Diceros bicornis minor: one gene and its partner. The protein of the gene in region 1 binds, or shares a complex with, the protein of each later gene. Links are inferred from orthologs where the notes say so. Each region holds a gene or a part of one and is shown on either strand. Other genes may lie near its edges. The genes, in order: RIPK3 and ZBP1.

Region 1 (7,804 bases):
TTTTTTTCCTTTCTTTTGGCACTTTGGATCATTCCAATGTCTTCTGGTTTCCACTATGGCTGTGAAGTGTGCTACTGGTTTAGTTGTGTTCCTTTGCAGATGATCCACGTTTTCTTGTTAGCCTTTCAGGTTGTTACTTTGTCTTCATTGTTCTGTAGTTTCACTGAAATGTATCTAGATGTGGATTTCTTTATATTTATCCTTCCTGCCATAAATTGTGCTTCCTATATTTGTGGATTCCTGTCTTCCAACAATTCTTGAAAATTCTCATTTTCTCCTCAAATATTGCCTTGTGCCCATTTTTTTTCCCTTCTCTCCTCATGGAAATCCAATTTGATAATTGTTTGACCTCCTCATTCTTTGCCTCTTAATTTTTCTATCTGCTTGTCTCTCTTTCCTGCATTCTGGAGAATTTCTTCAGATCTAACTTTTATTACACTATTTCTCTCTTCAGCTGTATCTTCTGTTTAACCAAGCATTGCAATTTTAATTTTGATGGCTATACACAGTTTTTTATTTCTTGATATTCTATTTTTTTCCTAAACCTATCAGGGTATTTTTTATAATTTCTTAGTCCTTGCTCATTTTTCTATTCCATCTTTTATTTCTTTAAACATTTGACAATAGCTTCTTTTGAGTCTTCATCTGATTATTCCAAACTCTGAAGCCCTTAAAGATCTAAACCTGTTGATTATAGTTCCTGCAGATTCTCCCTCATGGTGATTTGAATCTTTATATATTTAGTAAATTTTTTTGTGTGTGTGAGTAAGATCAGCTCTGACCTAACATCTGTGCCAATCCTCCTCTTTTTGCTGAGGAAGACTGGCCCTGAGCTAACATCCGTGCCTATCTTCCTCCACTTTATGTGGGATGCCACCACAGCATAGTCTGACAAGCAGTGCATCGGTGTGCGCCTGGGATCCGAACCCGGGCCGCCAGCAGTGGAGCGCGTGCGCTTAACCGCTACACCACGAGCCGGCCCCAGTAAATTTTTTTGTGAGTTTATATTTGCCTGAATTTGATCCAGAAACTTGGATTAAGGATGCTTTCTTCTAAGGAGGATTCAGTTTGCTTCTGCTGGACTCCAGGGGGCATTAATAATCTGGGGCCATTTAAATCTTTCAACTTATGGTTTATTTGATCAAAAGGAAAGTAAAAATTCCAACTACAGATCCGTGTGAGAGCAGATCTCACAGGGAAACTAACATTTTCATTAATTTTAACATCTAGCGCTGCAGCCTAGACAGGTTCCCTTGCAGGTTCCCTCCACAAGCAGGTGGACTTTTTCCTTTCCACAAAAAATGAGGCCCCTTTGAGGGCCCCAGCTTGTCAGGGAATAGGCGTGTCTTATATTTAGCTCCTCCATCTTCCTAGGCCCTAGGGCCTACTCTTTGGTTCTCCCTTAATCTCCCATACCCTCTACCCAGTCCCCAAAGCTCTAGGTTTCTAATTAGTTGACCTCTCTATTTACCTTCTTTTTTAACATTTTTCTATTTTGTTGGTTTCAGGGGGATGCCCTTAGGAGATTACCTTTATTTTATTGGGAGCTCACTAACAAATTTAAAAATACATGTTTATTGTGATTTATATAGCATTTAGGTATTCTGCTATGGGAGGCTTTTGAGCTCTCTGTCACACTCCTGGAAGAGAATTTTTAAAACAAACAAAAAATATGATTATATGGGACATACTGTTTTATAATCTGTTTTTTTTCCCACTTGATATATGATAAACACCTGTCATATTAATAAATATAGGTCTAAGTCATCATTTTAATGGCTACATAATCTTCCATTGCATAATTTTTTCAGTCTTTTTCCTATGATTGAATAGCTAGGGTTTTATTTTTTCACTATTTTATTTATTAATATTTTTTTGTGAGGAAGATCAGCCCTGAGCTAACATCCACGCCAATCCTTCTCTTTTTGTTGAGAAAGACTGGCCCTGGGCCAACATCCGTGCCCATATTCCCTCACTTTATATGGGACGCCGCCACAGCATGGCCTGACAAGCGGTGCGTCGGTGGGCGCCCGGGATCAGAACCCGGGCCACCAGCAGCGGAGCGCGCACACTTAACCTCTATGCCACAGGGCCGGCCCCATTATTTTTTCACTATTTTCAACAACACTTCAGTGAATATCCTTATAACTAAATCTTTGCACATATCACAATCTTCTCCCTTAACTGTTTATAAAAGTAATGCATGCTAATATAAAATAATCAAACACTCTGGAACATGAAAATCCTCCATAATCCTTTTTACTGTCACCTCAATTAATACCATTTGGTCTATAATTAGAATCTCTTAATCAAACAAGAGATGAGAATTAGTTAGGGCTAGAATACGCAAGAAGAGAGACACACCCTCTGTCCCCCCACCCCGACAGCTAGGGAGAAGGAACCAGAGCAGGTCCTAGGGATGGGCTGAAAGTAACCAAAGACAGTTGGGAGCAGAGAACTGAAGGGATGAGAGACACCCAAATAGACTCCAAAAGCCTGTGACACCTGGGGTCACAGGGAAGGCCAGAGCTCCAAAATCCAGGAATCAACTCTGCCTTACCAGTCCCCTCCTGCAGAAGCAGAGGATCTTGTCAGGCACTCATTCCAGGCTCCTCTCCCTGCCCTTCCTTCTTCTAAAGGCGCTTGGTCTATTTTGAGTCAAAAAATAGTACAGGCTCTGACACTAGCCGCAACCCTATGCTTATAGTAGCTGACCCCTGTCCCAATCTAAAGAAATCCAGCCATAAAAAGGCCTTTAAACACCCTTCTCTCTCCTGTCTGCCTGTTCCCCTCAAGTGGAGACTAGGGTCTTCTCCCAAAGAGAATCATGAAAGGAATGGCTGCCCCCTCTGATGGCTCTTAGCTCCTGACTAGACTTTTTGAGGACTGCCATTGTATTCTGTGAGATACGCCATATCTCTAGAGTCAAGTCTACTTCAGACAGATTCTGTCAACTGTGCAGATGCAGTGAGAACCCCCAAACCATAAAGAAGCCCAACCTCCTCTTTCCTCCCAATGAGCACGGAGCTCCAGCTGGGGTGATCAGCGTCTTAAGGAAGCTCCGAAAGTTTTGCTCGTTCCTTTATTAATTCAATTCAACAAATATTTATTGGTATCACCCACATACTGGCTTTTAAGGAGACTACAGTCTAAGAATTACAGCTTGGACTGATTCCACCAGAATTCACGTTGTGGATCCTGGAGTTCTCAGGTGCTCTAGAAACCACAGTTAACTGCTGGCCACTTTTGCTCCAACCAGCAGAGCCCGTGGACCACTGGACAGAATGAAAAGTGCATACCAAGGCGAGCACCTTCCAGTGAAGCTGGCACACGACCTGTATGGTTGGGTCTCCTCGTGAAACACTGAGCGTCTAGGGGTGGCCGTATCTAGTTCCCACAACCTCCAGCCATGGTCAGGCTTTGGGCACGTAAAATATGGACACTTTTTGTCTACCCTAAATCCTTAAGGCTCCCCAAGCTCCTGAGTTCTTTTTTTTTTTTTAATTTTTTTTTTAATTTTTTTATTATTTATTTTTTTATTTTTTTCCCCCAAAGCCCCAGTAGATAGTTGTATGTCATAGTTGCAGAGCCTTCTAGTTGTTGTATGTGGGACGCGGCCTCAGTATGGCCGGAGAAGCGGTGCGTCAGTGCGCGCCCGGGATCCGAACCCGGGCCGCCAGCAGCGCAGCGCGCGCACTTAACCGCTGAGCCATGGGGCCGGCCCTCCTGAGTTCTTAAAGGCCCTTGTCCAGAGCATATGCCTGTCGGGAACGTGTATTAACCAGGGCATTTGCATGGAGGAGTTGGCATGCTGGGAGAGGGCAGGGAGGCGCTGAGGTGTTTCGACTGCAGTGTACACCACAATGTCAGCAGCCCTCTAGCTGAGCTAGTTCATCTGACCACAATGCCCTGGGAGTAGGTCTTGGTCTTGCCAGCAGGCAAGTCACTACCAATGCCAGGGGCTTGCCAGCAAGAGCAGCTGTCAGGGACTGGGCAGGAATACACACAGGGACCCTTCACTACACTGTTGGATGCGTCACACCGTCCTCAGCCCCCTCATGACCAGCTGAGTGGTACAGCCCTGAAGCCTGTGTGAGAATAGGAAAACTCGGTGGTTCAGAGCCAGACTCTGAAGTCAATTCATACTGGCTTAGGCAGGATACTTAAACTATCAGTGCCTCCATTTCCTCATCCATGAAGAATAAAAACAGTACCAATCCCCCTAGGGTTGATGTGAGAAGTAAATAAGCTAATATATGTACCTGGCACATGGCAGCCTTTATAGAAGTGTTGGCTATGATCTTAGGGCAGCTATAGGAGAGCTGAGCCCTAGGACCACAAAATCCTCCTCAGCACCATCCCCTCCCCCCCGCCCAGGCCTGGTGGGTGCTGGAGCTGGGAATCCTGTGGGAGAAGGGAGAAACGCTGACTATAGGAGTGAGGTGATTGTGCGTTCCTGGAAGGTGAGGACTCCTTCCGTGGTACCCCAAATGCCCAGTGACGCCTAACCTGGCCGAGGCACACAGCAAGTGCTCAAGGAAACACTGGTTAAAAGAAAGAAGCACTAGCTTCCGTTTTACACTACCCCCTCCCACTACTGGGGCGGGACCATAGAGGCGCCTGTCGGAGAAGGAAGTTATTAACTCACTCGGTGCAGGCACATCGACCCGGGAAGCGGAACCGTGCAGTGGCCTAGAGATTGACCCCTCTCCCGATCCCCTCCCCCTCTCTGCCACAAATCCCGTTCCCAGAAGTCACTCCATCCTCATGGGCTCGAAACTTCCAGAAGCCCCTCACCCTTCCAGCCTGATGTCTTGCGTCAAGTTGTGGTGAGTGGAGAGTGGGAGGCCAGGAGACAACTGACAGTGCCAAGTCCCCGGAATCACGGGGCCAGGCGGGGGTGGGGGTGTGCAGGGGGCAGCGTGGACTTGGGGCCATGGCCAGCTGGTGGACGAGGCTCTCTCTCTCAGGCCTAGCGGAGCCCCAGCCTCCCTGGTGCCCATCGAGGAATTGGAGAACCCGAAGTTGGTTGGCAAAGGCGGGTTTGGCACCGTGTTCCGGGTGCAACACAGGTCGTGGGGTCATGATGTGGCAGTCAAGATCGTGAACTCGTGAGTGACCCAAGCTTCTTTGGAGCCAGTTGGTGTCTGGCCAAGGAGGTGGGGCCTGAATGGGAAAGGGAGGGGTCTTCCCAGGAGCAGAGCCAACTCCATCTCTGTCCTGGGGTGTAGGGAGGCGATATCCAGGGAGGTGAAGGCCATGGCAAATCTGCGTAACCAGTACGTCCTGCTCCTGCTGGGGGTCACCGAGAAGCTGGAGTGGGACTACGTGTCCGGGCCAGCTCTGGTGACTCGATTCATGGAGAATGGGTCCCTGGCAGGGCTGCTGCAGCCCCAGTGCCCTCGGCCCTGGCCGCTCCTCTGCCGCCTGCTGCAGGAGTTGGTGCTCGGGATGTGTTACCTGCACAGCCAGAACCCCGTCCTTCTGCACCGAGACCTCAAGCCTTCCAATGTCCTGCTGGACTCAGAGCTGCATGTCCAGGTCAGCCCATCCACACCCTAGCCCAGCCTTTGGACAAAGTCTTGCTCCTGAGATGCTCCAGCCCTTCCCCCGCTTAATGGGACACAGGACCTGCTGCAGCTCTGGCTACTGAATAGCCTCAGCATCTCCCTCTGGACACAGGGCTGCCCAAGTGTCACTCAGGAGCTTTATCTCTGCCATACCAGGTGATAGAGGCCCTGACCGACACAGTCAGTTCCACAGGCCCACCTCACCAGGCCCTCCAGAGACCCATGACTAACTTAGCCCAGCAGACTCAGACCTTGACCCAGCCCTATGGAGAGGGGACCCAGACTTCCAACCCAAGGGCCCCACTGGTCTGACCGTTCCCTAGCCTTCCATACTCCCTTTACAAGGCTGGATCTGCATCTCCTGGCAGGGAGGGAATTCTGGAAGCTGGTTGGCACTGTCCATCCCCTACCTCCTTCTTCTTCCCTCCTTTTGCAGCTGGCAGATTTTGGCCTGTCCACGTTTCAGGGAGGCTCACAGTCAGGGGCAGGATCAGGGAAGGCAGGGGGCACCCTAGCCTACTTGGCCCCAGAACTGTTGGCTGATATAAACCAGAAGGCCTCCATGGCCTGTGATGTCTACAGGTAAGTACTCACTGCAAACACATGTCCCCAATTTCTACACCTCTCTGGGCCCTTCTAGGGGAAGGTAACGGGAGAGGAGTCTTGCCAGTAGTAGGGCCAAGCCTCAGCTTTGTGTCTTGTGCAGCTTCGGGATCCTAATGTGGGCAGTACTAGCTGGAAGAGACCATGAGAGTAAGACTTTGGACAGACTCTGGGATCCTTAACCCCGGGTACCTCCTCTCACGAGCCCCCAACCCCTCCTCTTCCTGCTTACCTGCTCAGATTGTCCTCCTCCCTCACCTCCCCTTGGACTACACTCCTTGCCCCTTTCCATGATGGAACAGGTGGCCCCTCGTATCCTTAATATCTTCTCTGCACATCGTCCATCCCAATCCCAGTAGTGTCCCAGATATCGCTGGTGAAGGCAGCAGTGTGTGAAAGGAAGGTCCGGCCCCCCTTAACTGAGCTGCCCAAGCCCGGCCCTGAGACTCCTGGCTTGGAGGGACTGAAGGAGTTAATGCAGCACTGCTGGAGCCATGAGCCCAAAGACAGGCCCTCCTTCCAAGGTGAGCTGGCCATCTGGCAGCTGGGGTAGGCCTGGATCTGTCTACAGGGGGCTTTTTCCTGGAAAAGAAGTTTTGCTCCCCTACCACCCACTCTGCTTTCTCTCCAGACTGCCGTCCAAAAATGAAGAAAGCTTTCCTTCGGGTGGAGGACAAGATAGAAGATGCTGTCTCCATGGTGAGTACCCAACACAACCCCCCGCCCCCTAGAAGCTGGTCAGAGATGGCAACATGGCTCCCTTGGCCACCCAATGACTCCCCTGGCCACCCAATGACTCCCCACTGACCACTGTTCTTTATGCCTTGACCCTCCTCTTCAGTTTCCCCACCCCACCCCTGAGTTCCCAGGCAACAGACTGTGGACCAAGAGACTCCTCCCTTGGCTACTCAGCTCCCCCACCTCCACACCCAACAAGCCCCCTGTCCTTGCAGGTGAAGAAGTTCATGTTTGAGCACAGGAGCAGCAACAGGACGATGTTTACCCCTGAGCCAGGCCCAAGAAAGACAGAAATGGATGGCCCTGGGCAAACCACAGGAAGCTGCAATACTGTGGCTGAGATGTTGAACAACCTGAATGTGGAGGGGTTCCCCAACTCTGTTCCTGAAAAGTGTACAAACACTCCTGAGAGGATCAGGGCACAAGGAAAGCAGGTTCAGCATGACCGGACAGCAGGGACATCTGACTCAACAGCTCAACCTCCCCAAACTCCAGAGAACTCACCTTTCAGAAACCAGGTACTCAGCCCCTCCTCAGCTTGGACCCCAGGTCCTGGACCCCAAGGGAATCAGGTGAGACATTGGCAGGACTAGCGGATACACTAGGACTCCTGTGAATCCTGTCCCCTTGCCAGGGGAAACTTGGGGCTGAGGTGGTGTGCGATGGGGGAAGAGACCTCAGGACAGGGAGCCCGAGAGCACTGTGTTGTTCACAGGGGGCTGAGAGACATGGTACCCACTGGCCTCCCAGGGCGCCGGAGCCAAGTCCAATATCAGGTATTCACTCCCACTCCTTTCTTTCCCCACCAGCTTCTTCCTCAAGACCCTAGATAGATCCAGGGTATCCAGGGGAGAGAAAGGGCTTGAGGCCATCCACCCCGACCTCCTCATTTT
Region 2 (7,890 bases), on another chromosome or scaffold:
GGTGGCTTTGCTACCTCAGAGGGGACGGCTGGGATCATATGATGAAGATACGACTCGCTCAGCGTTCTGTGAGCACCTTCATGGGCACGATCCCATTCAACTCCTGCAACAACCCAGAGGTAGGTGCTGCTGTGATTACCTCTGTCAAAGGGAGAAACTGAGGCTCAGAGAGAGGAGTCCCTCGCTCTGGGAGCAGAGCCCCGGTCTGCCTGACTCCAGGGGACACAGGTGACCGGCGGAGCCCCGTCAATGGCTCTGCCGTGAAGGGCAGCGAGCAGGGCCGGGGCTGGCCCTTGCCTGGTCGTGTCCCTCGCCCTCCGCTGGTAGCTCTTGTGACCTCGTGCCATCCCCCGCTCTCTCTGGCCACCTCTGGTTCTCGGGCCTTTGCCCCTGACACAAAACAGGTCATTACCCACATTTGGTGCCTTCAGACATTTCCACTTCCCCCCTGAGGTGAATTCACCGAGGAAATGTGAAAATAACATCCACGCTGCCTGGTAGAAGGAGACTGGGCTTTGCCAACACAATGAGCAGTAAAAATATCTCTCTTTTAAAGGAGAGAGAAAGAGAAATTTAAAGACTCAAGATCAGTAACATGTAATTATCATTGAGTTTGGGCGGAGAGTTCTAATAGTTTCCAGAAAAACACAAGCCATGAAAAAGGAGTGTGCTTTCCAAGCAAAGAGAGATTCGGGCTCTGGGGGTTGGAGGCGCCATCTTGGGACTCCTGTGGCCTGGAGGCCCATCCCGGGGGAGTGAGGGGGCACCAGTATCCCTCCCCCCCTGTCCTCGTCTGCCTTCTACACTGGATAGGAGGTCCTGAGAGTATGGAACCTGCCTTTGATCTCGGCCTCGGTGGGGCTCAGCCTTGGGCCTGTTCGATAGACAGGCCCCCGTGAATGGACACACCTCAAGGCACAGAGGGGTATCCTTGCTCCTTCCTTCAGGGGACAACACAGCCTCACAGGGACAGCTAGATAATCCTCCAATATCCGTTGTCCCGTATTTTGAAGTAATAGAACCTCCAATTTTGGCTGGCTGCATGGTGGGCCAGAATAAAGACCATCTTTCCCAGACTGCCTTGCAGATAGGCCAGGCCCTAAGACTCAGGGGATGTCAGTGGAATGTGTGTGCAACTTGCAAGTGTTCTTAAAGGAAAGGTACCTGCCCTTCTTCTCTTTCCTCCTTCCTACTGGAAGGAATGCAGACATCATGGCTGGAGCTTGAGCAGCCATCCTAGAACATAAGGGCAACCTGAGAACAGAGGCCACAAACAGCAGAGCAACAAGATAGAAGGGGCCTGGGTCTCGACACTATGGACCTGGACCACCTACCAGACTGTTATGGGAGAAAGAAAGACACCTCTGTATTGTTTAAGCCACTGATATTTGGGTTGAAGACAATCCTTATAGTCAAAATTACCTTGAAAATCTCTTAAATTGAGAAGAGAAATACAAGATAATCCAAATCTGTATAAGTGAGAATCCCGCTCAGTGTGGTGAGATGCTCACAGCAGGTTCACAGCTTCCGTGAATTCCAGACATATCACAGAATGCTCTGGAAGGGGGAACCACTTGCATTAAATTGTTCCTTCTTTCTCTTTCTTGCTCTTTTTTTTCCCCCTAGCACCTAAAGTATTGTGGAGACACATCACATCACATTTTCTAACTTACGCAAATTTTGTGAGCACCTACCTAGTGTCAGATAGACATGGTTTTTCTTATTTACTATCTCCATTTCATAATTAAGGAAACTGAGGCTCAGAGAGGTGGTGACACACAGCTGGGGAAGCAGGGCTGAAGCTCGGATCAGACCTGCCCTGAAGAAGAAGGCAAGGCCGAGTCCTTGTCCAGGCGGCACCTCCCGGGCGCTCGGCCCTCCTGGCGTGGTGGTTCCTGCTGGAAGGTCCGAGGGACGGTCAGCGAGCCAGTGCGGAGGCCCCACGGGGCTCCAGGCCCCGGGCCGGTTGGTGAGCGGGCGCCACCTGGTGGCTACTCTCGGCACAGCTCCAAGCCACCCGCTGGGTTCAGCAGGAGCCCCCCCGAGGGCGCCCCCACGATCTCCCTCCACACCCCCAATTACCCGCATTTAAAATTAATATTTTCAGTTCATATAGAGATACCCGATTCTTTGGTTTTACGTAAAAGGGGAACAAAAGCATCCTTGTGGTTTCCTGTTTTTACCGAGTTGTCCAGCTCTCCGCCTCAGACGGCGTGAGATCACCTGGGGCGCTCGGCCGCGCCCCAGAGGTTCGGAGTTAATGGGTCTGGGTGGGGACTCGTCGTTGAGTTTGTCCTGCTTGCTCTGCGGAGACAGCTTCCAGACGAGCCTCCTCCGGGACCCTTTTCCAGGGCTGCCCTTGTTCCCAAGCCCCTCCGGGTGCAGAAACGCTGGGGCGAGGGTCCCCCAGGGCGCGAGGACATCCGCTCGCCCTCCCAGGCCTCTGCAGCGGGGACCCTGAGTCCGGGTCTTTGGGGGCTGAGCTCCTGACCCTCTCGGCTGCCTCATCCAAAGCCCTTCAGCTCTGGGGCCTCAGTTTCCCCTTCTGTTCCCTGGAAGAGAACAGAGGCTCTGAACTGCTCAGCCCCTTTGAGGATTTATGAAAGAGATGGGTCCTTTTTCCAGAAACAGGTCCCAACCGTGCTCGTGACTGTAGATGGCCCTGGTGGCTGTGATCAGACTGCTTAACTGGATTAACCCCCTAGTCTTCCTGAGGTGGCTACTTTTATTAGCCCCATTTTACAGATGAGGCACAGAGAGGTTAACATACTTGCCCAAGGTCACAAAGCCAGTAAATGGTGGGGCTGGGTTAGAACCCAAGCATCTCTGTGGCCTTGGACAAATGACCTCACCCACCCGAGCCTCGATTTCCCCTCCGAGAAGAGAGGCCGGACCCCGAGAAGAGAGGCCGGACCCAGCCCCCACCCTGTAGATGGGTCAGGGGGACACAAAGATTGGAGAGCACATAGTAGACACTCACTAAAGAAAGATGCACTGGGACACGCACGCGATCCCTCACAGGGCACCGCCAGCTGTCTCTTCCGTGTGTGGGGGTCAGGTGGGCAGTGGGGGCGCCTGGAAGGTCGGGGAAGCCTCCTGGCCCTGGGGGATGCTGCGTCTTGCCCAGCCCAGCTCTTCCCTACCAATATCTAGACGGAGGCCTGCTCGGACTTGCTCATCAGTTCTGCTTTCGATTTTGTTTCTCTCGAAAGCCATACACAGAAGTTTCATTTTCTCTAGAAGGCTGGTCAGGGCTGGCTCCTGGGCTCCGCTTCCGGGGTGTGCACAGCTGACACCGCCAGGTTGAAGCTGGCATTCCTTCACAGCTGCCGGAGCACGAGGCTCGGCCACGCCAGGACAGCCGGCATCACCGTGGCCCACCCTCAAGGCCGCGATGCAGGAGCCGGCCGCTGCCCCCCAGGCTCCCGGGCTCCCAGCTGCTGCTGCCGGCATGGCCGAGGCCCCTGCTGACCCCACCGAAACAGGTACTTTCTTCCCTCCAAGGAAGTGGGAGCTCCCCCGTGGGACTTGTACTTCTCTCTCTGGTTCTTGGCCCAGATCACGGCGAAGGTAGCAGGGTCCCCTCAAGCACAGCAGTGACGAGGAGGAGAGCACAGCGTCCCCTCGGAGGGCTCCTCTGCCTCGGCACCCTGCAACACACTTGGTGTGCGCTTCACAGTGACGCTCAGCGGTGAGCGCAATTGTGTTTCCATTTTCCGAATGAGCTCGAGACCGCCGGCCCTGCGGGTGGGATGACTCAGGGCCTACGGCCGACCCGTCCTCATACTCATTTTGAGAAACAGCGGAAGCCGCTTTGACAAGATGCGCATGTGCGTGTTTTCCCCTCGTAGCATTCTGTCTTCAGATGACGCTTTCCTCCAGGAAGAATCACCGGTGAAAGTCAGCCGCGCACCGAGCGCGGCCGTGCTCTACGGTTGACGCTAAGGGCGCCACAGTGTGGGCTGCGGGCGAGGGCGGTTTCTGTTTGTTATCATTAGCTCATTTAGTCCTCACAAGCTTTAAAGTTGATACTATTATTCCCATGTCACAGATGGAGAAACTGAGGCCCAGAGAGGTCACATAGCTAGGAGATGGCAGAGCTGAGGCTCAAACCCTGGAAACCAGCCATCAGAGAACAAAAAGGAGAAAAAGAGGGTGTGCTGGGGAGGGGTGCCAGGCAGGGGCCCTGGGAGGGGTCCTGGGGAGGGGTGCTGGGCAGGGGTCCTGGGAGGGGTGCAGGGGAGGGGTCTGGGGAGGGGTCCTGCGAGGGGTGCAGGGGAGGGGTCCGGGGAGGGGTGCCAGGGAGGGGTCCCGGGAGGGGTGCAGGGTAGGGGTCCGGGGAGGGGTCCTGGGAGGGGTGCAGGGGAGGGGTCCGAGGAGGGGTCCTGGGAGGGGTGCAGGGGAGGGGTCCGGGGAGGGGTCCTGCGAAGGGTGCAGGGGAGGGGTCTGGGGAGGGGTCCTGGGAGGGGTGCAGGGTAGGAGTCCGGGAAGGGGTGCCAAGGAGGGGTGCCGGGGAGGGGTCCGGGGAGGGGTCCTGTGAAGGGTGCAGGGGAGGGGTCTGGGGAGGGGTCCTGGGAGGGGTCCTGGGATGGGTGCAGGGTAGGAGTCCAGGGAGGGCTGCGGGAAGGGGTGCCAAGGAGGGGTGCCGGGGAGGGGTCCTGGGAGGGGTGCAGGGGAGGGGTCCGGGGAGGTGTGCCAGGGAGGGGTCCCGGGGAGGGGTCCCGGGAGGGGTCCTGGGAGGGGTCCGGGGAGGGGTCTGGGGAGGGGTGCCGTGCAGGTAGGAGTCCAGGGCACTGGGTAACCTCATCTACCTTCTTCCCCATTGGCTTCTCCCTTTCTTTACCAACCTGTCGCTCACACCTGGTCCATGTCACAGCTTCCGGTCACTGAGGTCTCTGTGCAGGAGGCCAGCCCCGCCCTTCCGGTTTGGCCTTCACCCACACCTGCTCCCCAAGCCTGCTTGCCCTTTGTGGTCAGGGCAGTGGAGGAGGAGGGAGGGGAAGAGGCTACCCGGGGGCAGGCTTTCCAAGAATCAAAACTCTTTTCAAGAAAGGCAAAGCCAGGGTCTGGCCCGGTGGCATAGTGGTTAAGTGCCCGCGCTCTGCTTCAGCAGCCTGGGGTTCGCAGGTTCGGATCCCGGGCGCGCACCAGCGATCCGCTTGTCGGGCCATGCTGTGGCAGCGTCCCATATAAAGTGGAGGAAGATGGGCACAGATGTTAGCCCAGGGCCAGTCTTCCTCAGCAAAAAGAGGAGGATTGGTAACAGATGTTAGCTCAGGGCTAATCTCCCTCACACACAGAAAAAGAAATGCAGAGCCAGGTGTGTAGTTAGTTGGACAGGGATCCCCTGGCCGCTGGGGTAGAATTTGGGGGGTGACAGGGCGGGTGCCGCCAGGTGTTCTAATGGCACCTCTAATTGCAAGGATGGAAACATCCTGACCGCAGGGCGAGCCACAGCGCCCAGCTGTCGAGTCAGGTGGGTTAGCCCTTCCCCAATAGTGCTGCCACCAAGGACCCCGGAAAAACCCAGAAGGCGAAGGCCAGCTGCTGCCCCGGAAGGGGACCCAGGTCTTGCCAAGAAGGGCCCTGCTTTGCATCCCCCTCGGGGTTCTTGGGGGCAGACATTTGCTGGCGGCAGACTGGGCAGCTGCCCACAGGCTCTCACCAGCCCCGCGGCCCTGTCCTCTCACCCCCGGAGGAGCAGCTGGCTGAGGCTTGTGGGACCCTGTCCGCAGAGCAGAGGCCATTCAGAGAGTTCCTCCTTGAGCCTCACGAGATCCTGCTGAGGGGTGTTAACCTCAGATGGGGAAACAGAGGCCCAAGAGGAGCCGCCTTACCCTGCTCCAGGTCATGTGGGCAGACATCCGTCCCAGGAGTGGGCAAATCCACTCACTCACTCATTTGCCTGGTCACTCATTCCTTCAAGGGCCATTTCCTGAGAACCTACTGTGTGCCCTGCACTGTGCTAGACATCATAGGTACTACCGTGAGTCAGGCAGTCACAGCAGGGAATCCTGGGGGACATTCTGCAGGGGACCCACACACAAACAGCACCCCACCCACTCAGGGCATCCGGGACAGCTTCCCAAAGGAGATGGCATCTGAGCGAGACCTGGAAGTTAAGTAGACGCTGGACAGGTGGAGAGGGGGGAAGAGTGTTCCTGACATAGGGAACAGCATGTGCAAAGGCCCAGTGGTGAGTGGGGCTGGAAGGAGCGCAGACGGGTTGGCACTTGGAGGGAAGTTGAAGGTGGGTGAAGACGAAGCGGGGTGGTCGGCAGAGCCAGTTCTGGCTGCCGAGTGGAGAGTGGACCGCAGGGAACCCGACTAGAGTTGGTGGAATTGCTGTCACCTGAGGTGGTGACGAGGAACAGGGAAGAGGAGGTGGAGAAGAGGAGACGAGGGACTCAGGAGAGCCAGGAACAGGATTTCCAGGACTCCGTGTTTGGGCATCAGGGAGAAAGAGCCGTTTCTGAATGTCTCTTGGGTCTCTGGCTGGATGAATAGCGACACCACTGACATGGATGATGAGCCCCAGAGGAGGGGCAGCTTCCCTGGGGGGCTCAGAGCCCAGCAGGCCTGCCTCTCCCTCCCCCGCCCCCCCCCACTCTCCCGCCTCACTCTCCCCCGTCCTGCCGCCCTCCACTCCCCTCTGCTCTGAGGACCTCTCAGAGCTGAGCCTGAGAGCTGAGAGTTCCCACCTGCCCTCGAGCACTCACAACAGGGGGAGCACACTCGGAAGGCCTAGGCACCTCCTCTGGCCACCAGGCTGTCCAGCCAAGGTCACCTCTGACCAGCCCAAGTGCCCCTCACTGAACAGAGGTGGATGTCTGCTCGGGTCTCTGCCCTGGACCCCTCTCGGGGGGTCTCCCTCGCCCCCCCAGCCCAGAATCGATTGTGGGGGGACTCGGTTCTCTTTCTGCCCCTCTTGTCGCCCAGACCTGGAGCAGAAGATCCTGCAGGTGCTGAGGGGTGCTGGCTCCCCGGTGAAGGCTGCCCAGCTGGCCAAGGACTGCCAAGTGCCCAAGAAGAGACTCAACCAAGTCCTCTACCGGATGAAGGAGGAGGCGAAAGTCCACCTCGAGGGCCCCGCGACATGGCGCCTGGGCGAGGGTCAGACTGGAGAAGTGGTTCCCACAGAGCGGGCCCAGCCCTGCCAGGGTAACCTGCCTCCGGGGCGGGATGGGGGGGTCGGACCCTGCATGAGTCCTGGCAGTGGACAGCCCGGATTCGGACCTGGGCTCAAGCAGGGGCTCTGCCCCTTGGGGGCGCGTGAGGTCCCCTCACCATGCCTTGACTTCTTTTTCTGGCCAGCGGAGATGACAGTAGGGCTGCATCATAGGGTTGCGAGAGGATTAGATGCAAAGGGCTCAGCCTGGTGCCAGCACATAGTAGGTGCAGAGTAAAACATTAATAGTAATAACAGAAAATGGTAATGACAACAACGACGATAGAGATAATAATAACAGAACAGACTTAGCATGGCGCTAGATCCTCCTTTCCAGCTCTTCAAAGAGCTGCCATTGTCAGGTACTCGCAGGGGCCGGTGCGGAGCCCGGGGGTCACCCTGCCCGCACCCAACCCCGGAGGTGGGTAGACGGCGTTCTTCCCTCTTCCCAGAGAGGTTAATTAGCAGGGAGCCTGCACAGCAGGAAAGTGGCAGGGCCGGATTTGAAGGCAAGTCTGTTCACTCTAGAATCCGAGTTTGGAACGCCCGTGCGCTGGGGCCACCCTTGTCTGGTGGATCCTCGTCCCTTCCCCTGTGCCTCCGCCCCCTGACGCATCTTTCTTTCTCCAGCAGCGAGGCCCCAGCAAGAAGTGGCTGCAATTCCGGAGACACCTTGCCCTCAGCTCAGCAAACGGCGTAAGCATCCTGGTTTCCCTTCAGCT

The links.
Region 2: RIPK3 (region 1) and ZBP1 share a complex: the UniProt entries of both Homo sapiens proteins name them as parts of the AIM2 PANoptosome complex. The link is inferred for Diceros bicornis minor from reciprocal best matches to the Homo sapiens genes RIPK3 and ZBP1.

The regions. Positions count from the first base shown.
Region 1 is NC_080744.1:23,680,246-23,688,049, forward strand, and holds the start of RIPK3 (receptor-interacting serine/threonine-protein kinase 3), read left to right. Parts: upstream 1-4,649; 5' UTR 4,650-4,767; coding exon 4,768-4,829; intron 4,830-4,970; coding exon 4,971-5,111; intron 5,112-5,231; coding exon 5,232-5,541; intron 5,542-6,006; coding exon 6,007-6,152; intron 6,153-6,276; coding exon 6,277-6,323; intron 6,324-6,529; coding exon 6,530-6,697; intron 6,698-6,804; coding exon 6,805-6,872; intron 6,873-7,126; coding exon 7,127-7,429; coding exon of another isoform or gene 7,430-7,483; intron 7,484-7,545; coding exon 7,546-7,687; intron 7,688-7,804. UniProt on the Homo sapiens protein: Serine/threonine-protein kinase that activates necroptosis and apoptosis, two parallel forms of cell death. Necroptosis, a programmed cell death process in response to death-inducing TNF-alpha family members, is triggered by RIPK3 following activation by ZBP1.
Region 2 is NC_080758.1:5,918,689-5,926,578, forward strand, and holds the start of ZBP1 (Z-DNA-binding protein 1), read left to right. Parts: upstream 1-4,750; 5' UTR 4,751-6,524; coding exon 6,525-7,161; intron 7,162-7,798; coding exon of another isoform or gene 7,799-7,801; coding exon 7,802-7,864; intron 7,865-7,890.